4 linked regions of the Schizosaccharomyces pombe genome follow. Changing the gene in region 2 together with the main gene of any one other region gives a genetic interaction. Each region holds a gene or a part of one and is shown on either strand. Other genes may lie near its edges. The genes, in order: qcr8, SPOM_SPCC622.15C, ngl1 and omh6.

Region 1 (6,759 bases), on a different chromosome or scaffold from region 2:
GACTGACGCATCATCGGCAGAAGGGGGATCTAACTCTGCAGCATCTAGTTCTGAAGAAGAAGACTCTTCTGATTCGGAATATGAGATGGAGCTGAGAAGGCGGACACTTCTTCTTCCGCCAAAATTTACTAGTAAAGTCATCAAAAATCGGGCAAAAGCCAATGAAGAAGATACTGAGGTGCTTAAAAAAGTGACTTCACAAAAAATATTAGAAGAGACTATAAAACGGGAATTACTATTGAAAGAAACTAAAAACAATAATGAATTATTAAATGATATCGATGATACCGATGGAATTGATCCGCAAAGTGAATATGAATTATGGAAATTAAGGCATTTGCTTAGGAAAAAGAGAGACAAGGAAAAGTCACTGGAATTAGAAAGGGAAAAGATGGCAATTGAAGAAAGAAGATTAATGAATTCTGAGGAACGCGAAGCCCAAGATTTGAAGGACGCTGAAGCAAGTCGGAGAGGAAAGAAAAAGTCATCTATGCAGTTCTTACAAAAGTACTATCATAAGGGTGCATTCTATCAAAACGAAGATATTGTGAGTAAAAGAGATTATTCAGAAGCCACAGAAGGGGAAGTTCTTAATAAAGATTTATTACCCAAACCTATGCAAATTAGGGGAGATCTTTTTGCGAAGGCAGGCCAAACACGCTGGACGCATTTGGCAAATGAAGATACTACAAAAGAAGGATCTGCTTGGTATGATCCTAAAAACCCAATCTTGCAAAAAAATTTGCATCGTCTCGGTGGACTTCATTCTGACAGCCCACTCTCGAAGCGAAAACGTACCTAACATCTGTATATACATAAGGACAATTTTGTATTTCATTTAGCATTAATTTTATTTAACATCACATATATATTTAAATACAACATTCTTCTGAATTAATATCAAATGTGCACCACCCTTCCTCTTTGTAAGTGTTTAGCATAAGCATACCAATTCTTACCTTCCCGCAGTGCAAAGAGTACAACACATTTTTCGCCTTGGTCACCCATGTTACGAAGAGGTGCGCTTTCCACAATATTAAAAGGTTTAAACGGCCTTTCACTGCGTAGTCCCATACCGATTTGGCATGTTTCAGCTTCTCCCGAAGTTGGGTCGAAATATAACCTACCAACGGTTCCTACAACTTCACACGTTTCATATCGTCGTAAGTAAATTAAATACTTCTATTTCTAACTTCATTGCGTAGAAATCGCAAAAGCAAATTTCTTTGCTGGATATCGACCTTTGTCAGCTAATCAAATATGTGTGCCTAAAGTTGAGTCCAAAACACAAGTTTCGCAATCGCAGGATGAGGAAGATCAACCCCAGGAATATGTGTTATCTTTAGAGGATGGCTATTTGTATGCTCAATCATTCTCTGCATCTGGATCCGTAACTCAAACTCAACCCGCTCGTATATCTACTCAAGTATGGGAACAAATATGTGATAAGCTGATTTCTATTACACCTTTAGATTTGACCAGTGTCAAACGAAAAAGAAAATTGAAAATGAATAAACATAAGTTCAAAAAGCGCTTACGCCGACAACGAGCACTTAGGAAACGTCTAGGAAAATGAGATTATTAGAACTTATTTTTACTCGGGTTATATTTTTAGGTTGGTTGGATTGAGAGTTTAAGCTGTAAACAAGCATTTTCAAAATGGCTGCAAGCATTTATGAGTCTCTATTTTTAACTTGGATATCAGTACCTCTCTTTTCTTAAGAAACGTTTAATCATTTAATGTTTACTTCAGGCTTTTTTAACAAGGAATACATTTTCTCTCATGTATATTCTATCCTTTAATGTTCCGGTATGAGACAATTAGGTCGGTGCTTTTTTCTTGCGATAAAATCATTAAACAATCCGCGTTTATTTAACTATTTTCAAAAAGCGGAGCACTTATTTGTTTATGCCGGCTATCTCCTTCATATCAATTAGCTTCCCATGTCTAGTACTATTACAATACCTCCATCTTTGGCCCTTCCTTTTTATATTTTTAAATATTTGTCGATGGCTAGAATTAATGACATGTACACTTCATGTGAATCATAAATATGTTGTTGTATATCAAGCAATTAATAAACGCTTATTACACTGTATCTGTTTACACATAGAATAAAAGAACACATTGGTATGAAAAATAACTTTAGTAGTCGAAATTATTTCCTTAAAACAATTTTGAAAAAAAAAAAAAAAATTTCTACATTTCTTTCTTTAAAAAATGTTCTCACTGATTATAGCTAATTACAATAATGAAATGTAACGTACTGACGACTGACATAACAAATAACAACATAAGGAATATTGAAGAGCGTCCAACTGTATAATTTTTAAGGCTTTTGTTAATCTTGTCTTAACCGATCAAGTTATGCCAACATGCTTTCTAGAGAAGAGCAAAACCGGTGTTTCGTTCCTGTCCGACGAATTTTAGACAATGAAGACTTAAAATTATTTAAAGAAGGAGATGCTTATAAGTTAATTGATTCGTTTATTTGTGATCTTGACGAAGCTGTGAAAGACAAGCCTATTTCAGCTTCAATTCCGCAAAGCTCATCAATAGAGCATGTATTAAATATACTAGATCGAGTTGGAGAAATTAAACAGGAAAATCCTGCAATTGATAATATGGGGTCGAGGTTTGGCAATCCTGCATTTCAATCATTTTACGATCAGGTATACATTGAAACACCAAAGTTGCACCAAGTATTTGGAATTGAGCATAATGCGGCGATGGAGGCAGGTCGATATTTTTATGAAAGCTTTGGAAACAGAAAGCGAATAGATTATGGAAGTGGTCATGAACTTTACTTTATGTCATGGTTACTAATTTTAAAGCAACTAGGCATTTTTACTAAAAATGATTATCCAGCATTGGTCGTTCGAGTTTTTGTTAAGTATGTTGAATTGATGAGGTCTTTGCAAATTTTTTATACTCTCGAACCAGCAGGATCTCATGGTGTATGGGGATTAGATGATTTTCATTTCCTCCCTTTTTTGTTTGGTGCAGCTCAGTTGGTTAATCATAAATATTTGCGTCCCAAACATGTTAGAGATCCAGAAATTTTGGAGATGTGTCGCGCTGATTATATGTACTTAGGTTATGTTTACTTTTTAAATAAGTTGAAGCCTTCTGTTTCACTACGTTTCCATTCTCCAATGATTGACGATATTTCTGCCGTAAAGACTTGGTCTAAAGTCAACGAAGGCATGATAAAAATGTATAGAGCAGAAGTTTTGGGTAAACTTCCTATAATGCAGCACTATCTTTTTGGCCATTTAATCCCAGCTTCACCTGGGATGTCTCCTGCTCCCCAAGACGGTGATGATTCTGAGGTGACACATGTTCATTCTCATTATGCTGACTGTTGTGGCATCAAGATACCAAGTGCGATCTCTGCTGCCAAAAATAATGGAAGTAGGATTCCGTTTGATTAAAAATTCTCGAGGGAAAAAAGGCGTTTTTAACGAATCTTCACGAATTTATGCGATACCCATATTTGTCTGTTTACTTTAAAAGTAATATCTAAAGTCAATAAAATTACCAACAGTACAGCATATTTGTTTATTTCATTATGCTAAAAAAACTCTACATAAACAATCAACCCTAATTTTAGCAGCATTAATATAGCCATTTCATCAGCACAAAACCCAAAATAATTGTCGTTTTAAAAATAAGGTGACAAATCATAATTTTGAGTTCTGAAATAAAAAAATTTGGAAATATTTATTTTCGTTAAGAACCCAAATTTGTCAAAATCATAATGCGTGGAAAAGTACAACTTTTATATAACATCTCTTTAATTTTAAAGGGATAATAAGATAAAGCTGATATGTTTAGGGGAGCTCGAATAAACCTTATGAATTTGCTGCTAGAAGCAGATACATGGAATGAATTAAGGATTTACATTAAGAAGCAACCCAGAACCACTGGAACTTTGGGCATTAGAACCAGCTCCAAAGGGAAGATAAGTGACCTGTGCACCTTTATTAGCAAGTGCAGTAGCCACCTCTTTACTTGTCTCGAGACGACGAATTTGGATTAAAGCGCCACCGGCTTTATCAAGTGCTTTGGAAACAATATCAGCCGCTTCTGCTTCACCCTCAGCGCGAATAACATTAGCTTGTCGCTCTTGTTCGGATTGTTCTACTAAAAATCTAGCACGCTCGGCTTCTTGTTGAGCAATTTGTTTTCTCTCTACGGCTTTCGTAAATTCTTTTCCAAAAGTCATATGAGTAATGGATACATCTTCCAACCGAATTCCAAATTCGGTAGCTCGTTGAACTAGTTCTTGGCGAATTTTGGCAGAAACTACTTCTCTTTGAGTAATGAGCTCTGCTGCATCAAACTGAGCAACTACGGATTTTAAAATTTCGTTTCCAATAGAAGGTAAGACACGCTCATCATAATCTAAGCCTAAATTTTGGTAAATTTGAGGAAGCATTCCAACTTCGGGACGGTGTAATACACGCAATGTTAAAGAAACCATCTGTAAATCTTTACTACCCGTAGTAGTTGCGATATTTCGTGGACGTGTGCGTACATCATAAACAATTGCCTTTTGTAACCATGGAATCAAAAAGTGTGTGCCCTCCTGAACAACCTGTTTCTGCACACCCGACAGACGGTCAAACAAAACTGCTCTTTTTCCCCCCGGTACATCGTAAATCGAAGATTGTAATAGAGTAAATCCAATACCTATTGGTATTGCATAACGTGCAACTCTCTCCAGTACTACAGCCATCTCTTTAATAGTACGTTGAGCGCTGGACTAAAAGACCAAACTGAAAGGGAAGTCCGTTTGAGCAAGACTAAGTATGACTTAACTGCAACCTCTAGGAAAATCTATATTCATGATTAATAAATACATGATCTTATTATTTAGAATTTTAATAGTAAAACTAAATAAAAATCTTGAATAAAAAACCAAGAATTTGTAAACGTCTGAATTATTATTGGTCTAGCAGACCCGCACACTTACCCTTAACAAACATCTGACTTTGTAACGGCAATCATCAATATATTATTGTTTTAACAAAATGGGTGGTGCTGCTGGAGGAAAAACTTATTTGTAAGTGCAACTTAAAGCAGTTTCTGTTTATAATGGGTTATATGACTTTTCTTTGACGCTTATAGCGTGAGACGGTGGACACAATTGGTGTTTATTTCGTAAAGCCATTTTCGTCAGCGAAGTTATATACATTCAAATAGCTGCTGAGAATATCATTGAACGTTTTTATTTATACTAACACATGAATAGAGGATGGTGGGGCCATCTGTAAGTGCTATAACAATTTGATACATTTTTACTTACTTTAATAAGAGGTGGACCTAAACAAAAAGGAATCATAACATATTCCCTTTCCCCATTTCAACAGAGACCAATGGCCGGCTTCTTCAAAACTTCTACGCAAAATATGTTTCGTCGCGTCATGACTGAAGGTCTATACGTAGCAATTCCGTTTGGAATAGCTTACTATATTTACTGTTGGGGGAAGGAGCGTAATGAATTCCTCAATTCCAAACATGGAAGACACGTAAGTTAATGACTGAAGAATCGATAAGCAGCTATGGTTTGCAGCATTTTTCTATACTTCTAAATTGTGTCAATAATTGTCATTTTACTAATATGTGGTTTAGTTGGTGGAGGAATAATGATGAGAATGAAGTATTCATTTTGGTAGAAGGATTTACAAAATTCTTCCCTACCCTTTCCTTATTGGGTTTACAATTACTATCTCTCTCCTCTCATTATGCTTAGTATCAGAAATCTATATATCCAACAAAATTACTTTGTGATATGATCTATCTCTTGAATTTGAAAACATTATTACTCTTAGTTTTGACTTTCATTTGATTTTGTCTTATAAAAGACAAGTTGTAATGCTGAAACAGCGTCTTCTTCGCTATCGTGTGTAGAAGTTTGTATTGTTGTTCCCAGATATTTTTTAGTCAAATATTTTAAGGAATATCTAAACGGCGGGCCTCTGGCATGCGTAAATAGAAGAGCAGTATCTATGACACGTTTGTGAATAAGCCTCATCGCATTCAAATCGTTTTCTAAACCATGTCCTATTAAAATTGTATTTTTATTCATGCCAAGTTCCTTTATTTTAATATACATTTGATCCATGGTAATTCCTGATTCTAATTCTTTGGCATCATGTATCCCGCTAAATCGAGTATTGAGACTCAAAATTTTGCCTTTAGGCTTTATAAACACATCCATAATAATGCTTTCCTTTGCTACCACCGTCAAACGAGCCAATTCCATCCCGTTCGTAGTGTAGCATAGTTCACAATCTAACGCGCAATGACTTAATTGCTTGCTATTTGTACTGTCTGGTAAGTAGGAAAATGGATGAACGCTAGCAAGATACGGAAGATGTCGGTATTTGAACACATGGTTGTCTTCTATAATACAACCAGACGAATCGCCCTCTTTTACACCACAGCAAGTGTATGTACGAATCTTCTCCCCCCCTTGCTTTTCACGAAACAGTTTTCCCCAATGATATGTACATGGTCCTCGAGGATCCGCAAACCGTGTACCACATCGATCGCATTCACGAAGTTCATCTGGCGGGTTTACTGGTGCAACGTCTCCAATATTATATCCCCATAGAATCAATTCTTCTTCCGAATGAACAAGTGACTCAAGTTTCTCATCAGGAGTTGATCCTTGTATTTCATTTTTCTTCGGAGCTTTCTTAAGAGATAAAATTTTAGACTTGCAGGAGGAACTGTATATCATTTTACTG
Region 2 (8,116 bases):
TGGATTCCTGGCTTGAATACGATGACATTATAAATCAAGACATTGATATTCCTAGCAATGACCTGAGTGGTTCAGGCACTCTCTGCGTTGGTGTACACTCTTCCCTTTTAGAAAACTCTTTAAACTCAATAGACTCGTTTATTTCTTCGAAAGAGGAAATTTCATGGTGCGGAAACCAGTCAACTCCTATTGCGACAAAATCACATTTATCCTGCATAAACCCTCAATACGTCAATCCTTTTGATACTTCACCTGTCTCGGTAGATACAGAATTTCAGGATACATATTTGCTTGATGCACCTTCCTTTGCACAGCCTCACTTCAGTGAGAGACAATCTGTAGACAAAACAAGATCACGATGCCTTAGTCGTAATCGTCGTCGAAAAAGACATCCCAATCTTCATAAAAACCATCAAAGATTACTTGGCATGTCTTTTCCACAAGACGGCTTTCGTCGTATGCCTGCCGAAAGTGTAAATTTTAGTTATTTTAGGGATACTGGATTTAATGAACCCACAATATTTCCTTCGTCTGATACACAAAATACGCGGCAACTAAATCTGAGTAAAATCGCTACTTTAATTGGTTATGATTGTCCGCTCGCCCTTGTGGATGTTGTGACACAAAAACAAATTCCAAATAAAATGGACATGGAAAGTTGGGTAAAGTACATGAGCCTCGAGCCCAGCAAACGTGGTCGAATATACGACGTCTTGAGCTTAGAGGTTTCTACAACAAAACTTGCCTATTACGTCCGGAAGCCTAACATCGTTCGTGATCTCGATTTGGTTAATACTGTCTGGCCTCCTGGTTCCTTTGCGTTGGGTGAGTATCCCCATGTTGATACTTACTGCTTAATGTCAGCGGAAAACTCGTATACTGAATTCCATATTGAATTTGGTGGATCCTCAGCTTACTACAATATTCTAGACGGATGTAAGATATTTTACCTTATTCCAGGAACATCTAAGAATTGGGAAGCTTATACAGCCTGGCTAACATCTTCAAATGACAGCGACAAAAAGTTTCTACCCAATATGGTTGATGTATGCTACTGCGTCGAAGTTCATTCGCAGCAAACAATTTTGGTTCCTTCAGGATGGATTTATGCCGTTGTGACACCTTGTGATACAATTTCTATTGCTGGTAATTTCTTAACGTTCCTTCATATCTATCCCCAGTTGTCAATCTACAATCTTGAGCTACAATTGGGAATTGAAAAAGAGTATCAGTATCCATATTTCGAGAGCATAATGTGGTACACAGCTATACATTTTTACCTTGCGTTCCCAGATAATTCGAGTCGTGATGGAATTGATGATATAATTGCTGAATATGAAACTGGTAGATTGTTTGATATCAATGCGTTTACAGAACAAGAATTGGATGGATTTGAAGAATTGCTTAATTATCTTTATATTCGTGCGCAGATTTTACGAGATTGCGATATAATTATAGACATTTATAATGAACCCGTAAAAATATCAAAAAATAATGGCTATAACTCAGCATATACGATGGTACCTCCGGATTTGGATGAGATTTGTGTTGACTTTGTACAAAAGTTTGGCGCCTGGATTACTTACCATCATAGACGTAGCGCTAAACACCCATCTTGCAATTGTTTTTCACACCTACAAACGAAGCTTATAGATTCGGGGCCTAAACCTGCAAATAACTCTTATCAGCATCAGTCTAATTTCATTGGCGTTGTGATTTCAACTAATCATAATATCATTAAGAAATGTCAAGAATCTCAAATACAAACAGGAAAGAATAATTGCTCTTTTCAGTTAGTAAAAAAGAGGATTAAGAGTACTAAAAAGGCACCCAGCTGGCGCTCGATAATTAAGGCTTTCAAGAAGCGAGAAAATACTAGGTGTAATTTTCTGTCAAGTTTACATGCAACTACGTTTCGTGAGGACATTGTCGTTCGTCCTAAAATCAAGTCATTCGTTCTCGAACAGTTGATCTTTCAGGCGTTGTTTTCATTTGCTATCAATTGGACACCAAGCTTCTTTTTGAATCACTCCAATTTTGAGAATATTGCGTTGAGTAAAGAAACGTTTAACTTTGGAGGTGAAGCCAATTGCGAAAATACGGACACCACATTATTTACTACTTGGGGCGATCAAGGTTTTAGACCAAGTGATTCTATTTGCTATAACGACTTTAATTTATTGGAAACGGCGAATTCTGATGCTGAAGCTTCAATACATGAACTCGAACTTCAACCGCTGAATGCAGTGAATGAAAGAGAGGTTGATATATCGCAAACCGACATGACTCCATCCACGGCGTTAGACACTAGGGTAGACACTAGGGTAGACTCTTTACCAGAATTTTCAAACTTGATACTTTCGCCCTCAAGCAATGACGACAGTTTTCAACTTGACGACTTGTTGTCCCCCTCTTCATCAAATCTCAAACAACAGATTCAAAAAGTCGTTCCTCAAAATTCCCTAGAATTTTCTGTTGGTGAGAAAGAAAAAAAGGCAGCCGAATATAGCCTGCTTCATACGTTTTCTTACAAACGACTCTCTATGGAAAATGAGAAACCAGATACTACAAAGGTACCTTTAAAATATAACATACAACATGAAGAAATGAAAGCGTATCGAAGAAAAAATGATTTAGAATATATAGATCAGCACTTTGCAAGCTCTAAGAGTGGAATTTCGAATGGGAGGAATAATAATAAAGAGGTCAACTTAACAAAAGCTGAAAATGTCGGCATCAAAAAACGTCGAATCATGAAAAATGAAAATAACATTTATGATTTTGAAGATCACTCTCCTGTTAGGGAAAAATGGGGGCACAGGCTTCGGTCCAGAGGTGCTAGTTAAAGTACCTCGGCACTTTTTATTTCCTTCGGCTACCATTGAATATTTATCCCCACGTGCTTATGATTCTTGAGTAGTTCACATTTTATGAGTATATCATGAAGGTTTCATCAAATAATTAAGACTCTTTTTTTTTCTATTAATTGGGTTTTTATTTATAAAACGATTAAGAGCATCAATCCACTTTGACTCGTTGTTTGCTTTTAAACTACGATCGTCCTAAAATGATTTATGGACTACATAACACACAATGGAGTCATTGAAAGCGTGGACATCCCCATGAAGCGGCGCAGGGACACTCAACCTGAACGGATTGTATCAAAGCCGGATACTACAACACACTTTTTAATATGAATGTCTCCTATTGGCGTCGTCTCGTCTACTTTATCCATCTCAGCTGATGCAACGACGCTTCAGGGTTTTCCATCCAAATCCCAATTTACCAGCCTTACTTTTTTATAATGTGCTAATATTGTTGAATTGTGCTCAAATATGTACATATACTACCCGATATAATGATTCTATAAATACTCTTTTTCTGTTTTTTTTTTTGGAACTCATATAAATAAATAATCCGGCGATCTAACTACAAGCCACGTTTCTATTAATCTAATCGGTCGTTTCATCTTTGAATATTATTTAATTAATTTATTTTCCTATTTTAATTGTTAATACTACTAGAAACAATGGTAATATTCTAGATTTCTATTATCTTAAGATTTCCGCATTGCAACCTGCTAAGTAATCTTATCAATGCGTTAGAACGCGTAATGTTATTTTACATTTTACGGTCCGCAAGCTAAAGCATGCACTATGTATTCATTGCCATACGCGAGCAATGTACCCGGCCTTAACAATACAGTAGACGGATATTGGAATTCAAGCGGAATTGAATATTTCTGCTTTGAATTGACTTAAAATAATGAATGAAGATGAAACTTCAATTTTAAATAAGAAAATGGAGAAAATTGAGGTAGAAATGGCGGAATTTGAACGATTGGGCGCTGAAAGAGAGAAGGAGGCGGTCGAAAGAATTGTTCAAGAGGAAAATCAAAATCCTGAAGTTCCATCGAACGATGACGCGTCCACAGATATTAAATCGCGAAAAGAAGGAAATATGAAAGTCACCGCCGAGGAAATTGGTTTGGAGACTGAGAACTTTGATGAGCTACCTGTAAGTAATGGATTTGGTGTAAGCCGACGAGAAACCCATTACGGTAACAACAGGACGTATTACAAAAATTCTCAAGGATATCGAAGAAAACCCAAGAGAGATGATTATAACAATAACCGAAAAAACTTTTATCCTCCTATACAAAATTCTACATATTTTATAAACGCTACCGGGGGAATTGACTCCATGCCATATTTTGGTTTAAATAATGCTCCCGGCAATATCTATCCCTTCTCAATGTATAAACCTTTGGAAGCGGATCCGCAGTATTTATCTGTTCCCTCATCCATGCCTTCCAGAAGGGAAGCTGGTATGGCTTATGGATATCAGAACTACAAACGAGGTGGTTATACTCCTAATACGCAGTATTTTGAGGAGCCTCTTAATAACACCTCTTTTCCTAATTCCCAAGGGAAAGAGGGAAAAAATTCGGGGTATCGTAAATCGTCAAGGATCCTCGATATCCGTGTAAAGTTTGGAAACTCTTCTATGAAAGCCATCAATTTTCAACCTAAAAAGAAAATTGTCCATGTCGTGCATAATCCCCGTCTCCATCAGAACAAAGTTCTTCGCGTCAGTATACCTGGATCCCAACCAGCACTGGTTACACCCAAACATAAAATGAATGTTCCTCCTATGGGAATGTATCCCTTACCTTTCTCCCCTTTACCTTCTGCAGCTCCGCCTATTCCTTTTTCCCCTAACGTCTCTTCCCATCCACATATGGCTTTTCTTCCAGCCACTGTACCAACTCATTCTGCTCCTCCTGGATTTGTCCCTTACGATTTTCCTATTACAAATGACAAAATGTATCCTTCACCCTCATTTCAAGAGGAATTTCCATCAACTTCAAAGTCCCCTTCGGCCACACCGGGATCTTCTAACGCTCCTGTTGTGGATATGCATCCTAGCGCTGATTCCGCTACGTACCCTACTTCCATATATCCCTCTAATGTACGTGCAAGAGATGATTCTCAGCAAGCTTATATTTCTGCGAATATGACTACCGGTGAAATGCCATCCATGACCAATGTTCCCGCTGGTAATGCACCTGCAGCACCGGGAACCATGTACACAACCCCTTTACCTACTGCCAATAGTCCGATTGCATATCAATCCTACTCTGTTATGCCGACTTACTGGTCGTTTCCTCAAAATTATGATTCCACCGTTCCCGCGGTCTATCCTTATATGCCTCCTCCATTTTCTGGCAGTGATATGAATGTAATGTCCAATCCTGCTGCCGATACTTTACGATCTTATTCACCTGCTAGTCAGGTCTCAACTCCCCCCTTCGGTTTCGTTTATTACTATGACCCAAATCAGTATTACGTACCAGTTAGTAACGAATCAGCCAATGCTACTAGCCAGCCGTTGTCTAACTTAGACACTGGAGGCAGTGCGCCTTATGACCATATTTGATGGGTCAATGACTTATTGTCTTTTGTTAGAATGATTTTTATCATTGAGCTTTTAAGCATTTTGATTTAATTATGTTATGACCAGCATTTTTGTTTTGGAAAATGACCGGCAATGCCTATATCCTCATATCTTCGTCTTTCCTGTTTTCTTTTAAAATCCACTCTACATACCGATTAGGCATCGTCGACTAAAAAAGAAAAAAGTCATTGGTTTTATTCAAGAAAGCACATGATCCGGTTATCTTCTTAAAATTTAGCCGGCATTCAACTTATGCTAATGAAAATAAAATATGTTATTATCATTTTTTTCATTGTTTTGAACTATAAGCCTAAAACGATGAAACTTTTGTAACAGAAATAAACAAGAAGACTCCGTCTTCAATATATACAAACTTTTTTTTTCAGTTCCCCATGTATTATACTTGAAGAAGCTTCAAATGTCAGATAATTCTAATGAAGTAGCAATATTTTTTTTATCGGTAGCGTTCTTCGTTTATGTTTTAGCTGACGAATGCTTGATAGACGAGGCACTCCTAACAGCAATGAAACATATCAAACTGCTTACGAGTTTAATAATAAAAAAGTCAATCGTGCTTATCGAAATTCTTTTTCGAATAGTCTTCAGGTGGAGGAGAGGCAGCGAGAGCTGAATAAGGAGAGTCGATTTCCGCATCATAAGTACCGCGGGTGTTTTGGGGGTTTTCGGAATATACATTTTCATCCAAAAAGGATTTAAGTTGTGTAAATGATTGCTTAGCACCTTCCTGAACGTTACTAGAGAAATTATTAATGGCATTCATGTAATCCTTCCTTGTTTCGGGATCTTGAACCTAAAAACAGAGTCAGTACAACAGAAACTTTATTTTTTGGATACAATAAAATGTTTGTACCTTTGTAATCCCTGGCTGAATATAGGACTTATTTACGTCTTGAATCTGTTGGGAAACAGATCTGGAGAACATGTTCCAACCATGACTAAGTGCAGAAACAGGATTAGATGATAATTGGTCCAAAAAAGAGCCACCGTTATTTCTAGCAGAAGAATTGGGATTAACAGAGTTAGAGCTTCCAAACCCTTGATAGCGACCTCCTTGTGAAGGGGGTAAATCATCAGGGCGTTGGGAATTAATGGAACCAAGCTTTGCAAAATATTTATCATTTGCTTCTTTTGAAACTGATGGAATAGTTGGAACAGTTGAAGATGAAGTTACAGAAGCATGAGAGGAAACGCTCTTAGGACGATCAACTTTGACCCATTCGACACCATCTACTTCGGCACGAATTTTTTGTCGTAGGTCCTCAGCAATGTCGGTATTGTACTTAAAATGTGTTAGTCAATGTGAATAAAATCAAAATAAGGTAAACTGGAAAAAATATAGAAGGTTCAAAGATCATACTTTTTCACGAATACTTCCGGCAGCAGAAAACATCGGGTCTGTAGACAAGAATGTTTTAGCATTAGAATTTCCACCAACCTGTATAGAAGTTAGTCAGGAGCATGCAACAAATGTGGGCTATATATGTTGTTTCAAGTCATTGATGAAATTATAGTGAGCTTGCATTTTATAACTTCAGGTGATAATCAATTGCGCGTCATGTACTTGTTTTTAACATTAAACATTATTCTTGTCAAAAAAAGGCACTAAATGACTTGGAAAAAATTCGAAATAGCGGCAAGCAAACTCGCAGATCAATAGCGCTACCCTCTCAGCCAAATGAATTATTATATATATATGTTTTTTTTTTGGTAAAATAACCAACAAACTCCAATAGCCCGTATCAATCCTGATGCTTACCTCCATCATCTTCACTTGACGTTCACTCCAATTGTCCATGGTAATACTGCGGACAAAGCTCTTTTCGACTCCCAAACCACGATGCTGTCCACTGCAATCCAAACAAATGAAGATTCCCAAATTACAAGATGCCCATTGTGGATTTGGAGCATCACAATCAAAACATTTCTTGTTTTCAGGAAGACGAGTGAGTTGGTCTAATTTATACGACATTTTTTATTAGATTATTTAAACAACCAACTCATTAATTGTAGTTTGTTCTAAGTGACTTTGAAATTTCGTTATTTTCATGTCTCACCATGGTGTGAGATTTTATGGAAGTGCGTAAGAAAACGTTAAAGATCTGGTGAAACGTATTCCAAGTATATAAAATCAAAACATGAAGGAAATAAATATGTCGTGCAGTTGAATGCATTTATGAGTTTCAACTTTTTCTTGTTTTTGATCCATACTGTTTAAAATACCAGCATCTAGTTTCTTGGAAAGCTTACGGTATTATTTTGAGCAATTTTCATATCTGTCTAAGAGTTCATTGACCTTCAAAATAAATAGATTAAAGAGATTATTCAAGTTACAATAAGTTTGGTTTAAGAAAATGCAAATTAGTTTAAACAATCCTCTCGTTTTTGAAACAAACTGATAATTCAGTGATTTTTGACTACAAATAGAAATTCAGAAATTACTGTGTTCCTCGCTTGTTAAAGGTATGTAGCAGAAAATCTCTTATGAGTTGGCTACCTCTTAAGTTGTATCGTCTTTATGAACTTAACGACTTTTTTAAGGACTATAGAGGACTAGAAGCTTGAAACTACAAAACTAGACTAGTAAAAAGGTTATACCCTTATAAATTTGAGTGAATACATCCACTACTTCCATTGCACA
Region 3 (7,464 bases), on a different chromosome or scaffold from region 2:
ATTTTTAATTAATGATGTTACCAAGAAACCGTATTTAATAAACATCCGTCTTTGTTAATATATAAAAATTACGAAGCCGATTTATCCAATATGCTCGTTGAATGATTTAGATTAACTAAAGATTTAGTTATAATAAAGACATTAAAACTGGTCAATTTAGAAGATTGACAAGTTTTCATATTATAGTATCGCTTGGATATATTCTTTCTGATAGCCATCCAACCCCCACTGTTTACTACCATCGAGTTGTAAAGTCCTGTCTTTGGGCAATAACCATGCTCAACTATCAATGTTTAGAGACAGACTCCTATTGTGGAACATCTCATATTGAGTTAGATGGAATTCATATCTATATAGACCCTGGCAGCGATGATTCATTAAAACATCCGGAAGTACCCGAACAACCAGATTTAATCCTTTTATCTCATTCGGATTTAGCACATATAGGAGGATTGGTTTATGCTTATTATAAATATGACTGGAAAAATGCGTATATATATGCTACTTTACCAACAATTAATATGGGTCGGATGACTATGTTGGATGCAATAAAATCCAACTATATTTCAGACATGAGCAAAGCTGATGTAGATGCTGTTTTTGACAGCATCATTCCTCTTAGATATCAACAACCCACATTACTTTTAGGTAAGCAATTGTTCTTGTGAAAAAAGTCTTTTGAACTTTTGATTATACTAATTCATGATTTAGGAAAATGTAGTGGGCTAACCATTACTGCTTATAATGCTGGACATACCTTGGGAGGAACTTTGTGGAGTCTTATAAAAGAATCAGAAAGCGTTCTGTACGCTGTTGACTGGAACCATTCTAAAGATAAACATCTAAACGGCGCTGCCTTATATTCGAATGGCCATATATTAGAAGCTCTCAATCGACCAAATACTTTAATTACTGATGCTAACAATTCACTCGTATCTATCCCTTCCCGTAAAAAGCGTGACGAAGCTTTCATAGAGTCTGTTATGTCTTCTTTGTTGAAGGGCGGTACTGTTTTATTACCTGTAGATGCCGCTTCTAGGGTATTAGAATTGTGTTGTATTCTAGATAACCATTGGTCTGCTAGTCAACCGCCTCTACCATTTCCTATATTATTCCTTTCCCCTACATCAACAAAAACTATTGACTATGCTAAAAGTATGATTGAATGGATGGGTGATAATATAGTTCGTGATTTTGGGATCAACGAAAACTTATTAGAGTTTCGAAATATAAATACGATTACAGATTTTTCTCAGATTTCTCACATAGGACCCGGACCCAAAGTGATCCTCGCTACCGCGTTGACTTTGGAATGCGGATTCTCTCAGCGAATTTTGTTAGATTTGATGTCTGAAAATTCAAATGACTTAATACTGTTTACACAAAGATCCAGATGCCCTCAAAACTCACTTGCAAACCAATTCATCAGGTATTGGGAACGTGCTAGTAAAAAGAAACGTGATATTCCTCATCCAGTCGGTTTGTATGCTGAACAAGCTGTCAAGATAAAAACGAAAGAACCTTTGGAGGGGGAAGAATTGCGATCGTATCAAGAACTTGAGTTCAGCAAGAGAAATAAAGATGCGGAAGATACCGCTTTGGAATTTCGTAACAGAACCATATTAGATGAAGACCTTTCATCATCATCTTCTTCAGAAGATGACGACTTAGATTTGAATACAGAAGTTCCCCATGTGGCTCTTGGATCTTCTGCTTTCCTAATGGGAAAGTCTTTTGATTTGAACTTGAGAGATCCTGCTGTCCAAGCTTTACATACCAAGTATAAAATGTTTCCATACATTGAGAAGAGAAGGAGGATAGATGAATATGGAGAAATTATCAAACATCAAGACTTTTCTATGATTAACGAACCTGCTAACACATTGGAATTGGAAAATGATTCAGATGATAATGCTTTATCTAATTCTAACGGAAAAAGAAAATGGTCCGAAATAAACGATGGTCTACAACAAAAAAAGGAAGAAGAGGATGAGGATGAAGTTCCTTCTAAAATTATAACAGATGAAAAAACTATCCGAGTTTCATGTCAAGTTCAGTTCATAGATATTGAGGGTCTGCATGATGGACGTTCTTTGAAAACTATTATACCACAGGTAAATCCTAGAAGACTTGTCCTTATTCATGCTTCAACTGAAGAGAAAGAAGATATGAAGAAAACGTGCGCCTCTCTCAGTGCTTTTACCAAGGACGTTTACATACCCAACTATGGTGAAATCATTAATGTTAGTATCGATGTTAATGCATTCAGTCTTAAATTAGCAGATGATCTTATTAAAAATTTAATTTGGACTAAAGTTGGCAATTGCGAAGTTTCACATATGCTGGCTAAGGTTGAGATCTCTAAACCTTCTGAAGAAGAAGATAAAAAGGAAGAAGTTGAGAAAAAGGACGGTGATAAAGAAAGGAATGAAGAGAAAAAAGAAGAGAAAGAGACACTTCCTGTTCTTAACGCCTTGACTTTAAGATCAGACTTGGCAAGAGCGCCCAGGGCTGCTCCACTTTTGGTAGGTAATATTCGGCTTGCCTATCTCCGTAAAGCACTTTTAGATCAAGGAATTTCTGCTGAATTGAAAGGAGAAGGTGTTTTATTATGTGGGGGAGCTGTTGCCGTAAGAAAACTCAGTGGTGGTAAAATATCCGTTGAGGGCAGTTTGAGCAACCGCTTTTTTGAAATTCGAAAGTTGGTTTACGATGCACTTGCTGTCGTTTAACTAATGTATGAAAAAAAAATTTAATTAGGATTACATAAAAAAAAAGCTAGTAACTAGAAAGGATTCATGTACAACATAACTAATAAATGTTTGGTAATAGAAACGGAACGTAAAGCTTTATGAAACAATCATTTTCCTGCTTCCCCTCTTTTCTCTTTCCATTCAACATTCCCCGTTTGTCTTGCTGGCAGGTCAGTGTTAGTGGGCGTGGCCTGGGAAACAGGACGCATATAACCATCAAGTTCATCTTTTTCACGTTTGTCTTCCTCCTCTAGAGCCTTACGTTCAGAATCAGTTAGTCGGGACCGAAACTCAATATTAATCTCATGCAAAGCCTGTTGTAGGACAGATTCGGGGCATCGATCACGAGGAAGACCATTCTCAGGGTGACGAATATATCTATGCGATACATCGCGAACACTATCGACTATTTTTGCATTAGTAACAAATAAAATTAAAACCTTTTCCGTACTCCCAAAACCCAAACAATATGACATCTTCTTTCCCCAACCTAATGCTGTTAGAAATCAAGTTTTTCAAGGAGTTAGAACTCTACCTTGTTCGTATATCAAAGGTTCATCGAATGATTCTTCACCACTATCGACATGCACCCAGCGTTGCTGTTTATTACTATAGACTTCCGTCCACACATGGTCCTCAGCATTCCAAATCCACCTAGCTCTAGATCCAAGTGCTCTGCATAGGAAAGTGAAACACTAAGAAAATGTTAGCTTTATATATTTATAAATATTTTTAACTCACGTTGGCCCACTCTCCACATCTTCCCTTCCTTGAATCAAGCAATGCTCGAATGCGATTATACCTGGGAAATCTCTGATTATGCCCGCATACATTGCATTGATAAAGCTCTACGTTGCGGACTCCATTCCATTTTTCTTCCTCATTGGGGGGACCGTTGCCTGTCATATGAGTTTCACCCTACACATTGTCAATATTCTATATCGTACGGATAAAGAACAAAAAATTGACTACACCGTCAATCATAAAACATACTCCACATTTTTCGCAAGGTGGTTGATTAACCCAAACAAAGAATTCTCGCTTGAACCACTTTAACAAGGCTTGAATCACATAATCTTGGTAACCCCAAGATCCATCTCCCTCTTTTTCTAATTCAGAAGCATCTTGAAATAGTTTGTCAAGTGGTAAAATGCTAAGAGCATAATCCTGCAACTCTGGGTCTTCATACATCCACGGGTGTTGTGACATTTGACGTACTTCATGATAAAAGGGATATGTCTCTGGAGGCTGAGAAGCGTTCTGGGAATTCTTGCTTCTCATCATATCAATGAAACGTTGAGAAATCGCATGAAAATCCATTTTCAGCAAATGTCCTATTTTCAAGAAAATAGCTAACGATTGTAAACAAAAAAAAAGAAAAAAAAAGAAAAAATTAAAGAAGGTATTTGTAAAACTGGATTGATTTACAAAAAATGAGGGTAATGTATTCACGAATCACAATATACGCTAAATTCTAAAAGACAACGCTTTCCTGTAGTCTAATTATGAGTATAAAGACTTCAAATTGTTATCAATTGCAAATTACTACAAGCGTTTTAAACTAATTAGCATCGATACAGTTTTTTGTAACAATACAAATGGCGGTTATCCGCATTAAAAACTGTGGGAGAAACACCCAAATGCGGTTTCAGGGTATTTCAATCCTTACCTTTGAGCAATAGGCGAAGCCAGGCGGCACTCTGCTACCACTTTTTAATTTTATGGTATAATTTATCTTCCACTTTTCTTTTGTCTGTTTTCATTTTTAAAAAGCAAAAATCAGTTTTGATGGTTTGATTATTGGAATTTTACAATTTTTTTTTTTTTCTAATTTACTTCTTTTATACGAACGCTACTTTAATGGAGAAATTACTACACGAAGCCTTGCAAAATGGCTGCAAGCTTCATAAATCTGTCGAATTTATCCAAAGTCGAGACGATAACGCTTGTTTTGGTAGTTATATTGCTGTTGCACAAAACGATATAGCACCTGATCAATTACTTATATCCTGCCCTTTTGAGTATGCAATAACATATAACAAGGCGAAAGAGGAATTAAAAAAATTGAATCCAAATTTTGAGAGTTGCAATCCTCATATAACACTTTGTACATTTTTAGCATTGGAGAGCTTGAAGGGTATACAAAGTAAGTGGTACGGGTACATTGAGTATCTACCTAAAACATTCAACACCCCTCTTTATTTTAACGAAAATGATAACGCCTTTTTGATATCCACAAATGCGTACTCTGCTGCTCAGGAGCGTTTGCATATCTGGAAGCATGAGTATCAAGAAGCATTAAGTTTGCACCCATCTCCTACAGAAAGATTTACCTTCGATTTGTATATATGGTCTGCCACTGTTTTCTCATCTAGATGTTTTTCATCCAATCTAATATATAAGGATTCAGAGTCTACTCCCATTCTTCTTCCTCTCATTGACAGTCTGAATCATAAACCAAAGCAGCCAATTTTGTGGAATAGTGATTTTCAAGATGAAAAATCTGTTCAATTAATTTCCCAAGAGTTGGTTGCAAAAGGCAACCAGCTGTTTAATAATTACGGTCCAAAGGGCAACGAAGAGTTACTAATGGGCTATGGGTTTTGCTTACCTGATAACCCATTTGATACAGTGACTTTAAAAGTAGCTATTCATCCAGATTTACCGCATAAAGATCAAAAAGCTGCCATTCTTGAGAATGATTGCCAATTTCAGTTGAGCAATTTAGTATTTTTTTTGCCAAAGTCCCCAGATAAGGAAATTTTTCAAAAGATTCTTCAATGTTTAGCAGTTGTAACTGCCTCTTCTCTTGAACTTCGAAAATTGACAGCGCATTTGTTGACGGGTGATCTAGCTTCTTATGTCCCTTCTTTACGAGGCCAGATTAAGTCCTTGGAAGTTTTACTTATGTACATCGACTCTAGAGCTGACCTTTTGTTAAAATCAAATCCGCAAGTATCTCCGACCTCTGAAAGGCAGGTTTGGGCCAAAATTTATCGCGATAGTCAGATTAATATTCTTCAAGACTCCATCACTTATGTCAAAAATTATATGGAAGAATCACTCCAAAAAACTTACAAACCTCTTCCAAACCTTTTGCAATATCTCATCCTTAATTCGATATCTATTTTCCTCTTGCAACATCCTTTGTTTGCACCACTTTCGCATGCCATTGAGAGTCTCTATGGTTCAACCGATGCTGAAGCATTGGTCGCTACAGATGAGCAGGATATTTTAATGATATTGATTTGTGTATATTGTTTATCTATTTCTGAAAAATTACCTTTCTCAATTAGTATGCTTGTGGAAGGGTATCCAGCCGTTGCTAATCCAGAAGGTGTTGAAGTCTTTGAAATCTTGGATGAAATGTTTTTTCAACAATTTACAAACGTATTTGGGGAATCCAAGCATTTTAATAAAGAAAATGTTTCTTGGGCATTGCAATTGGTAAATGACGAAAGTCTCGACTTTTCTGGATTTACCTTTATTATTGCCCATAATTGATAAATAAAAATTAAGCGATTAATATATAATGTACGATGAGTATTCCAATATTGGGTTAGGTAAAGTAGATGACAAGACGTATTTTGATAAATGATTAAGGTGTTTAGTGTCTTTTATATACATAGGATGATTGTAGTGCATAGAAAATTAGGGTAAAGTTAGGTTGATCCAGTTTGCACAAGTTTGTATGGCCAATCATCAATTTTAGCAGCCACTATCCATTCACGAAGGGCTTCATGTAGCTTCTTATGGAATTTTTGACTAGATTTGTAAGTGCCTGCTTATATAAATATTGAAAAAAATTGCTTACCTGCTCTTTCGAAACCGTAACCCCATGATTCTTTCTAATCCACTTAGCTGGAGTTCCAAACGTTTTCTTTGACGTTTCTCTAAAGGTAAGCCTTCGAGTAATTCATTAATAAGATGGATGTGAGCTGCAACATAGCTGGTGGCTTCGGTTTCTATACCACCAATAAACCCCAATGGAGCCTCGTACACTTGATTATATTGTTTCTCCAAATCAATGACATTAGAATCGTGGTTCCACACCCAGAAGACATTACGGCTAACATCTTCAAGTTCGATAATCCAACGGCGAAAAGGTCGATCAACTCGAACGTTTTTTAAGAATTCAACCTCTTCATCCTTATCGTCTTTAATAGAAAACAAGGAAAAAACTTGCATTGCACCTTCTTCTTTGTCGAGATGAGCTTTGTAAAAGGAGTGAACTATTTGAACGAGTACTTCCCTTACGACAAAATCACATGGCTGTTTCTTTGAAAGCAAAAGGGAAATCAATCGCTCGACATTATAAGTGGATTGAGATAAACATTCCAATCCGCGCTAGGAAAAACGTTAGCAATTGTCAAAGGCAATGAAGACATAGGTCTAAATGTATATCACATGCATACCTGAACAGTGCACATGGCTTTAACGCAAAGTAAAAGTTGCTCCAGTATAGAATCGTGCAGTTCCTCTCTCCATTCAAGGCGAGAGATTTTGTCGATTGTACAAAATACTACACCGAAACCGCCGTTGTGTATAAACTTCTCTACCCATCTGTATTGCAGTTAGTATGAAAAACCTCAAAATAAACGAATGATTTATCATTCAATCAAAACAATAGTAGTGCCAAAAAAAAAGATAATTTAAGCATCACCACTTTGATTCACGTAGCTGCACAAAATGTAAACATACATTACTTGCT
Region 4 (8,377 bases), on a different chromosome or scaffold from region 2:
TATTCTTTAGCTATACGGAAATTTGAGCAAGTTGCCAGAGCAAGTGTTCAAAACAATTTGCTAAAATGGAGCGTTAAGGATTATTTGCTGAAGGCCGGGTTGTGTTATATGGCTAATGGGGATGAAATTGCTACTCGTAGAGCTTTGGAACACTTTTTAGAAATTGACCCGTCTTTTGCCTCCACCCGTGAATATCAGTTGCTTAAAGATTTACAAGATACCATCGAAGCCTCGGATGCTAACATGTTCGCTGACAAAGTTTTTACCTATGATCAATTGTCGAAGTTGGATTCTTGGAAAACTACGATTTTACTGAAGATTAAGAGCAGTATACAAGAAGCTGAAGATGACTTAACTTAGTTTTGTTTGGTTTAAGTTTTCAATCACGTGCCTTGAAGTAAGTGAAAAAACACTTTCATTGGCTTTTCGAATGCATGGGTTTTCCAATGTCAGTAACGTTCGTATTCATATTTGTTTTTTTTTAAGAACCTTTTTTACATTATATAACATTTTTATTTAAATTGTTTTTTATTTTGTGGAATTAAGCTATATATATGGTCAACTTGACGAGAATGATTGCAACTTTTGTTTGCTAATATTATAGGATTTACTGGTTTGATCTTTCAACTTGTTGTCTACAAATGGAAACAAAGAGAGGGTTAGGATGATCCTTGTTTTACATTTATATATGCTTGCACAATGTACAATTTTTCAAATAGGCATTTTATTTTTTTTGTGAGACATATTTAATACAATAAATCCGTAACCCTAAATACCTTATACATCACATAGTCATATGTAATTGGCAAAATCTAATGCAAATATTCTTATTATTAGCCCAAGTATTATACACAACCGAATTATTTTTTGGAAACAAATCTTGATAAAGCATATCCCCATTTTTCCCGTTCCTCTGGAAGTTTTTGCTCGCGACGAACACGCTGAGCACGCATTTTTTTCTCTATCTCTAAAGATTTTTCAACTTTGAGACGACGTTGGTCAACAACGTTTCTGGCATGTTTGCGTAAATATCTTCGTAAAGCAGAGTTTTTACCACGGGCTTTTGCCTTTGGTACCCATTTTTCTTCAGGCGGCTTTTCTTCCTCGGCTTCAGCCTTTCGAAGCGACGGTGCAGCTCTATCAACATTACCGATAAAATCAGCATTCAAAGAAATCATTTCTGGGCGAAGCTTCTCCAAAAGTTGGCGAACTTCAGTTTCTTGACGTTGTTTTCGAGAAGCAAAAGGATCGTTTTCATATGAATCATAATTGGGTTCACCAGATCCAGGAACAATGATGCTTTCGAATCCCTTTGCATGTCCGATACCTAAAATATCCTCATACGGACAATAATGAAGATCAACAACGGATGAAGAGGGAAGCAGATGATTCATGTATGGAAAATTTTGTTTAGTTCGTAAGGCATCTTTCCAAATCGTAGCATGTGGTCCCCATCCAACGGCTAGCAATCCCCGGTCACTGAGGGTTAAGCGCTGAGCAGGTGTAGGGGTGTAATAGGAGTGAAGCTCTTTGTAAGTTCGAAGGTCCCAAACTTTCAGTAAACTATCGGCACCAGCGGTAACCATATATCTGCCATCACGATTTACTGCCAAATCACGTACAGGCCCGCGATGAGTAAGCATTTTGACAAGAGGTGTAGTTGAAGATGGAGACCAGAGGGTAACCTGGCCATTTGCATGACCAACATGTTCAACAGCGTTATGGGGATTTTGATGTAATACATGGCTAGCACCCATTCCGGTACGGTGTTCTGCAACCAATTGTCCAGTAGAGACATCTTGGTATTTCAAATAGCCAGCATTGCCAATACTGGTCAATAGTAAGTGATATGGCAAAAAATCTAGAGCATTCACTTCGATATGCCGCTTCAAACAGTGAATTTCTGTTCCCATATTATCGTAAACGTAAACATACTTCTTTTGTGCAACAGCAAAATATTGATGGTTATGAAACCATTTAACATCTCGAACGGTCTCTCTTAAATGTAGCTCTGTGAGTAATTTACCAGTACGCCAGTCAAACGCGGAAATATGACCTTTTCTTCCACCTAATAAAATCATTCTTCCATCTCTTGTATAATCAAATGAGTAACCACCAAACTTATCCAAATCCAAGGAGAAAGACTTTGTAGCCGTCTCAAGTGCAACATTAGGAGCCAGTTGATCTTGACGAAACTTGTATGTCCTTTCAAGGCCCTCGGCTTCCAAAAGACCGGGATTATCTTCATGTAAGATTTCGGTTTTCGCCAAGGAAGACTCAACATTCTCAATTCTCTCCTCGATTTTCTGAATATTGCTTCGAAGCTTTTTATCCTTGATTTTCTTTGGATTCAGCTTGCGCCCTCTAGAATATTTTTTTGTAGAAGCATTAACATCCTCCAAATTCAACTTTTGAGCAGACATAATGCTAACTAAGTAAAGATATTAGTGAGGAAAAAAGATTTTTTTTTCTTTTTAGGCCTGATTATACAAAAAAAATGAAGCAGTTTTCTAATAAACAATTCTTTCCAAAATTTAGGTATCTCCCTTAGTCAAAAAGTTAGAAACCCTTCAATTTTTACACAAATGTATTATGTAAACGAAGTGATAGTTAAAAAATTCAAACACTACGTTCGACTTCGATTCTATGACCCAACAGTAGGTTTAGGTTGAGGGCAGGTGGAATGTAGTTCTAGGAATAGGATTTGTGCGTTCTTATTGTAAAAAATCAGAAACTACTACTAACACAATTAGATACAAACCACAATTATTTACAAATAATACAAGTATAATAAAATAAAATTTCATAAAAATTAAGTATGCAAAATAAAAACAAGAAAATTTTAAAAGTAAACCCGAAACCCAGTAAAAACATTATAAGTTCAGACAATGGCCAATGCCAAAACTGCGAAATGAACCATGAAACGAAAATAGCTCAGGAATTAATTCTCCTGCTTTTTGGTCATGGAAAGAAGCTGGATCGAATTGGATATATCGCTCATCTTCGAACCGCTATTATGAGCACTTCTTAGTACGCTCTGCGTAGTGTTGTAATCATCAATACTCTGTAAAAGGACGTTTTGTTGGTATTTGTTGTTTTTAGAGGAGTTTTTGTTTTGTTTTGAGGATTTCTTAACTCCTTTTGAAGTCTGTTTAGGCTTTTTTGACTGCTTGTTCCTTTTCTGTGCCATTTGGTTGAAGTTAAAAGTTTTATCACGGAGGCGATAATTCATTTTTTCAACAAAATTTTCCTTCTCAAAAGTAAAGATATATTTATTATAAACAAATACACATGCAACATAATACATTTCTCCCTAACGATGCTGTAGAAGAGCAAAAGCAAAATCCATACTATGGAATACTGAGAGCAGTGGAAACCGACTTAAGGCTCGGTCAACGTTGGTGTGAATTAAAGGTACATGTTCTTGATATTGACTTAAAAACAAAAAGGCCTTTACTCTCAGGGATTCCCGTAAATGGACAGCTCAAAGACAAATTGCAATATGTTCTGCCGCTTTACCTCCAAGAGACAATTTCGATCGAGTTTCTGTCCTCTGTTTTCGATTCTATGAAGAAACTGAGCCTTCCACTTGTAAAGGATGCTCGAGGTCTTTCTGGAGATGAGTTTTTCCTATACCTGGGAATCATGTGTTCTGACTCAACGATAGTATATTACAAGATCACCGATGGACTTATAAAACCAAGGCAAAATGATGAAGAATAAACACATGATATATACATATTTATTGATTAGGATTGAAAAACGGAAAGACAACGCTATAATTTTACCACTACCAGATTAATTTTTCACTTCAAGTGTCTCAACGTTTGTAAATGAAAATGCACATATTACAATAACTTTCATAAAACAAATTCGTATGAACAAAAATTTTCTGTAAAGCTCATTCATCAATTAATATCACAAACATGCACATCTTCCTGTGTATGGAATAGTTTCTGGGCAATAATGAACATCATCGTTTAAGAAAAATCCCACTGATTCCATATGATTAGCACGCGCTCTTAAAACACCAAATGCTGCTGAAAGGATATCAGACTCGGCTAAATAAATGTCAGCAAAAAGTACAACGTGAAGCATTTATATTAGAAACAGGTTAAATAAAGTCATTTCCAAAATTGAAGAAGCAATTTACTTACTCCAGCGATGATAATATGTTCCTCCTGAACCAAGCAAGTAATTAATTAGGTTGGTGTAGGTCTGATTATGCCGAATTTGCTTTAGAGATAAAATTTCATTAAAAGGCCAGTATTTACAATAGGTGTAGTTGTTACTATAAACCCAGATATTGCTGAAATCTCCTTGAGTGTTTAAAATTTTGTATTCTTCAATTGCCTCTTCCATAGCATATATACCAGAGTGTTTACGTTCACAGACGTGGTTTGTAAATACAATGTCGCTGTCTTTGAAAGTAGAAAATATATCTCTGAACAAAAATATTAGTTAGGTTTCCTGAAAAAGAAGAACGAAATAAACAAGTTTTACCGAGTTTCTTACTTTTTTTCTTCACAAACCAATTTGAGCCCGGGTTCTATTCTCCAAACATAATCGTATTCCAATTGAGGATGATATAATAAAGATCGAACTACCCAATCTTGAAAACTGTGAAACAAAGGAGAGTATACGTAAGATAGATTCTCTTGAGCAAGTGCATCTGCTCGTTGTTGATAAAGTCGATTGTTTTCAACTAGGGGTTTTACTTGAGAAAGATCCCAATGCACTAAGTAAGAGATAGTTAGAATAAATTGTAAATGATTGGTATAAGTTATTCCCTTCGTACCGTATTCACAATGACCAGACGCAATCGTGCTTGTCGTACTCATAAAGTATTCCGTAAACTCATCCATGCCGTAAAACGTCCAAGGATAATGAAACCTCTTATTAAATCTATCCTCTACGCTACGCATCGTGCGCAACACTTCCCCAAGTTCAGCATTACTAGAAAACAGAATTAGAAAGTACATCTCAAATGGCACCGTACGCGGTAAACATCAGAAAAGAAGCACTCAAATTGGAGCTTTGAGGTTCATTAAGAATCACATATACATTGTTGGGTTCATTTACAGAGAATCCATTCAACCAGGTAAATACAATTGGTAGTATGGAAAGTAAAAGTTCGTAAAACATAATGAAGCTTAAACACGAGCAGAACTTTCCCTGTTATGAGAAGTAACTAGTTCAACTAACGTATGACTCCAAAAGTAACGCATAGAAAGTGGATTTGAAGGAATTTAACTGAAATTGCCTAAGACAATGGTTAAGGGCAAATGTTAATACCCTGCTAGAGATTTGACCTTAGAAAAGAGAGCTCTTTGAGTATAAATATTTATTTTTAGCAAATCAATTTTTGTATACAATGTTTGATGGGTAGATCACTGAAAGAATCTGCTAACGAGCATAATCTTATAAATGACATTTGCATAAGCGTACTGATAGTCGCTATGTCGAGCTGTTATTACTGTTGGAATATTTAAGTTCTATCAAAGGAATTATAAAATTTGCATTCGTCTTTTATAATGGTTTTTAATGTCTATTAAACAATTCATTGTTGCTGATGAATGTAAACAAAAGCAATAAGTTTAAGTATAGGAAAGCTTCAGCTGTTCTAGAATACAAACTCAGTAAAATGTTATAAAATAATATTTCATAAACCCAAGTGGCATATGTATCTTAAGACATTTTCCCAATATCTGCAAACTAATTCACTACTTTCGATCAAATTATATACTGTGGTTGTTCATAATGCACAATCTTATTTTAACGAGCCTTTTTTTTTGCTTTCTGGAAACACCAAAATTCCTAGACTACTAAGGGTAAAACAGTCACTAGGGTTAGGGTTGTAATTTTCAACAAACTATATAAAGTCTCGTTTGCACTTCGTTATAACCTATCATGAATCTGAAGTTACATTGTTCAGATTCTTTCGAGAATCTTGCGTGTAACATGGTTGGCGTGTAGAGGTTGACAAGAGTACAGACAGGGCGGCGATTGTCCTTGCAGTTTCGACTGCAGGTTGAGAGTTGGCGTCTTGCCATGAAAATTGACTAAAGGATGCTGCGTAGCCTAGCCAACAGATTCTAAAACGATTGGAGTGATCCTGATCCTTCTCCTTTGGAGAGGAATTGGTTGATCCTCTGACAACTGTATATTCCTAAATCTTTCGCTACATGATCTCTGGATCCTTGCAGTTGGGTAAAACCATACAGTTGACATTTTTCATTTGGGTAGTTCTTCTTTTATGATAGTTTAATCATGTGTATGAATACGATTAATTATTTTATTACAATTTTACTTTGTCATTTAAAACTGAATTTTTTAAACTTCCAATTCGCTGTTAATGAACAAATAAAAATGGGCGTTGTGATGTTTTGATGAGAAACAGGCTGACCTGTCGATGTAGTTTTCGTTTGTACAGCTTGACCGTTTGAGGTAGGTTGCCAGTATGGTATTTTGTATACTTAAACTGAATTTTTAATGATAATATTCTCGTCATATTTTGAGGTACTTTGTTTTCGTGTATAAGTCCTTGTCAAATTAAATGGACTACAAAGTTTTTAACAATCAGTTTTGTGGGCTGTTTGTAGCAACATCACAAGTGTATTAGCAATAAATGATTTAGAAATGCTACCCTAAGAGAGTATATAAAAAAAACCTTTCGCTCCTTTTCATCGTTTACTAGGTCGTTGAATTGTCAACATTTCAGTCTGATTTGGCAATTACAAGCGAATGATAAAAACCAAAAACTGGTTGCTTGTTCAGCAGTTGTCGACGCCGACGGGAAAGCCTGCTAGCTGAAATAATTGTCAGGATGCTCAATATTAGTAAAGCAATGAGCAAATTAAAAACTATAAGTTTGTATCTATTCCTGTAATTGGGGCTACCGTTTGGACATAGGCCCGGTGCACGCAGTTTTTGAAGACGAGATGAGTTAGGGTGCTCTAATATAATCCTTAATGTGGAAAATAGAGAATCTTCTTCTAACGTAAGTGAGTTGCCGTTTCTGTCACTCACATAGATTACGCCTTTCGAGTGATCTATCACAAACACTGGTGGTGTGATAGAATCTACATAAACAGTATGGTCCAAATTTTCCACAATCCAATCCAACCATAAAGAAGAATCTAACCATAAAAATGAAACTGACTCAGTATAAGTAGGATGTGATATCTTCGAGTACTTAATTCGCTTCACTTTCCTCGCGAACCCTTTCTTTTTAGCTTCAGCTATCGCACTATATTTCTTAATTCTACTCCAAACTATATCATTTCTTTGTCGTTGCATTTGAAATCGAAACCATCTCTTTCCAAGCCGCAACAATTCTTCTTGACTTGAAAAAAACTGTTCAGAATCTGGCTGAAGTAAGGTCAAAACAGTAAGCTTTCGATTCAGCAGACTGTGGCATTTTGTCGGGGTTAGCTCTGTAATAAAAGGGGAGGAAACTATGTTAATCCACTCAGTAATTCGTTTATAATCTCGAAACTCACGGGGTGTAATTGCCTGATAAACTATTGGCATTCCATTGCGAACAGCAATAATGCTAGGCTGAGACTGTGCCCCATATTTATTCGCGAGCGCCTTCGAATTACAAATGTATAATGGAGCAACACCAGCAAGCTGTAATTTCAGACGTTCAATGATACTGAAATCTTCTGAAGTAGTTGCAAAATCGTAAAGCACCAGAAAGAAAACTGGGTGAGAGTTTTCGATTGATTCAATGTCCCCTTCTTCGATCTTTATTGCTTGGTAACTTGCCACTTGGTTTGAATAGGATAGCAGCTGTTGATACTTGAGAGGTCCATTATATTGTATGGAATCGAACCCCTGAAACACCCTGAAGGTAGGAAACTTTTTAATATGGAAATGATTACACATCTCCTTTTCTTCGTCGCAATTAACTTGCGCCATTTTTAATCGCTCGTCGGTATTACGAGTAATGCTTGACCAAACAGCTTCCCAATGAAAGCAATCTTCACAGTGCTTCAATGAAACAAACATAACGAATGCACGAGTTTTAGACATAATTTCATTTCCAAAAAGAAACCTTTTAAAGTTCAATGTCTCCAAAGGCCTCAAAATACTCGAGTGTTTCCACGATTGGTCTTCTTTCAGTTCAAAAGCAGGATCTGTGCTACTGGAATCACTATTATACTCACCATCGTCACTGAAACAATCTGTTTCATTTTCAGCTTGCTCCAAATCACAATTACCCAAATGGCTTTTTACAAATTGTCGCGCGGATTTTGTCGTAATTTGATTTTTTTCAAGAACGTGTCGCATCCACATACCATTTTTTAGAACTACTACCTTTGGATGATCATATATTTCCTGTTGAGCGCAAAATTCTATATTGTTAATAATT

What was found.
Region 1: mutations in SPOM_SPCC622.15C (region 2) and qcr8 together harm fitness less than expected from each alone (positive genetic interaction), as found in Schizosaccharomyces pombe (one large-scale study listed by BioGRID).
Region 3: mutations in SPOM_SPCC622.15C (region 2) and ngl1 together harm fitness less than expected from each alone (positive genetic interaction), as found in Schizosaccharomyces pombe (one large-scale study listed by BioGRID).
Region 4: mutations in SPOM_SPCC622.15C (region 2) and omh6 together harm fitness more than expected from each alone (negative genetic interaction), as found in Schizosaccharomyces pombe (one large-scale study listed by BioGRID).

The regions. Positions count from the first base shown.
Region 1 is NC_003424.3:4,762,073-4,768,831, forward strand, and holds qcr8 (ubiquinol-cytochrome-c reductase complex subunit 7), read left to right. Parts: upstream 1-4,983; 5' UTR 4,984-5,037; coding exon 5,038-5,069; intron 5,070-5,258; coding exon 5,259-5,276; intron 5,277-5,321; coding exon 5,322-5,535; intron 5,536-5,638; coding exon 5,639-5,653; 3' UTR 5,654-5,834; downstream 5,835-6,759. Other genes in the region: splicing-associated factor Saf3, read left to right, coding at 1-802; cox24 (mitochondrial 37S ribosomal protein mS38 ), read left to right, coding at 1,007-1,163, 1,206-1,576; ypa2 (serine/threonine-protein phosphatase 2A activator 2), read left to right, coding at 2,377-3,435; prohibitin Phb1, read right to left, coding at 3,894-4,742; exonuclease Rex3, read right to left, coding at 5,835-6,759.
Region 2 is NC_003421.2:1,426,429-1,434,544, reverse strand, and holds SPOM_SPCC622.15C (uncharacterized protein), read left to right. Parts: upstream 1-3,695; 5' UTR 3,696-3,765; coding exon 3,766-5,439; 3' UTR 5,440-5,802; downstream 5,803-8,116. Other genes in the region: Jmjc domain-containing protein Epe1, read left to right, coding at 1-2,846; SPOM_SPCC622.14 (GTPase-activating protein), read right to left, coding at 6,023-6,268, 6,329-6,757, 6,836-6,913, 7,235-7,447.
Region 3 is NC_003423.3:1,123,237-1,130,700, reverse strand, and holds ngl1 (peptide N-glycanase), read right to left. Parts: upstream 4,230-7,464; 5' UTR 4,074-4,229; coding exon 3,747-4,073; intron 3,672-3,746; coding exon 3,495-3,671; intron 3,449-3,494; coding exon 3,289-3,448; intron 3,244-3,288; coding exon 3,205-3,243; intron 3,160-3,204; coding exon 2,861-3,159; 3' UTR 2,733-2,860; downstream 1-2,732. Other genes in the region: mRNA processing protein Cft2, read left to right, coding at 276-648, 712-2,732; ribosomal lysine methyltransferase Set10, read left to right, coding at 4,614-6,257; GTPase-binding protein Rid1, read right to left, coding at 6,416-6,518, 6,568-7,100, 7,169-7,316, 7,455-7,464.
Region 4 is NC_003424.3:3,388,968-3,397,344, forward strand, and holds omh6 (alpha-1,2-mannosyltransferase Omh6), read right to left. Parts: upstream 5,278-8,377; 5' UTR 4,983-5,277; coding exon 4,516-4,982; exon of another isoform or gene 4,445-4,515; coding exon 4,158-4,444; intron 4,140-4,157; exon of another isoform or gene 4,062-4,139; coding exon 3,919-4,061; 3' UTR 3,724-3,918; coding exon of another isoform or gene 2,942-3,723; 3' UTR 2,783-2,941; downstream 1-2,782. Other genes in the region: sec17 (alpha SNAP), read left to right, coding at 1-360; U3 snoRNP-associated protein Utp7, read right to left, coding at 861-2,423; SPOM_SPAC959.11 (uncharacterized protein), read right to left, coding at 2,942-3,307; tRNA-splicing endonuclease subunit Sen15, read left to right, coding at 3,292-3,723; pdi4 (protein disulfide isomerase), read right to left, coding at 6,718-8,360. UniProt on the Schizosaccharomyces pombe protein: Probable mannosyltransferase involved in O-glycosylation of cell wall and secreted proteins.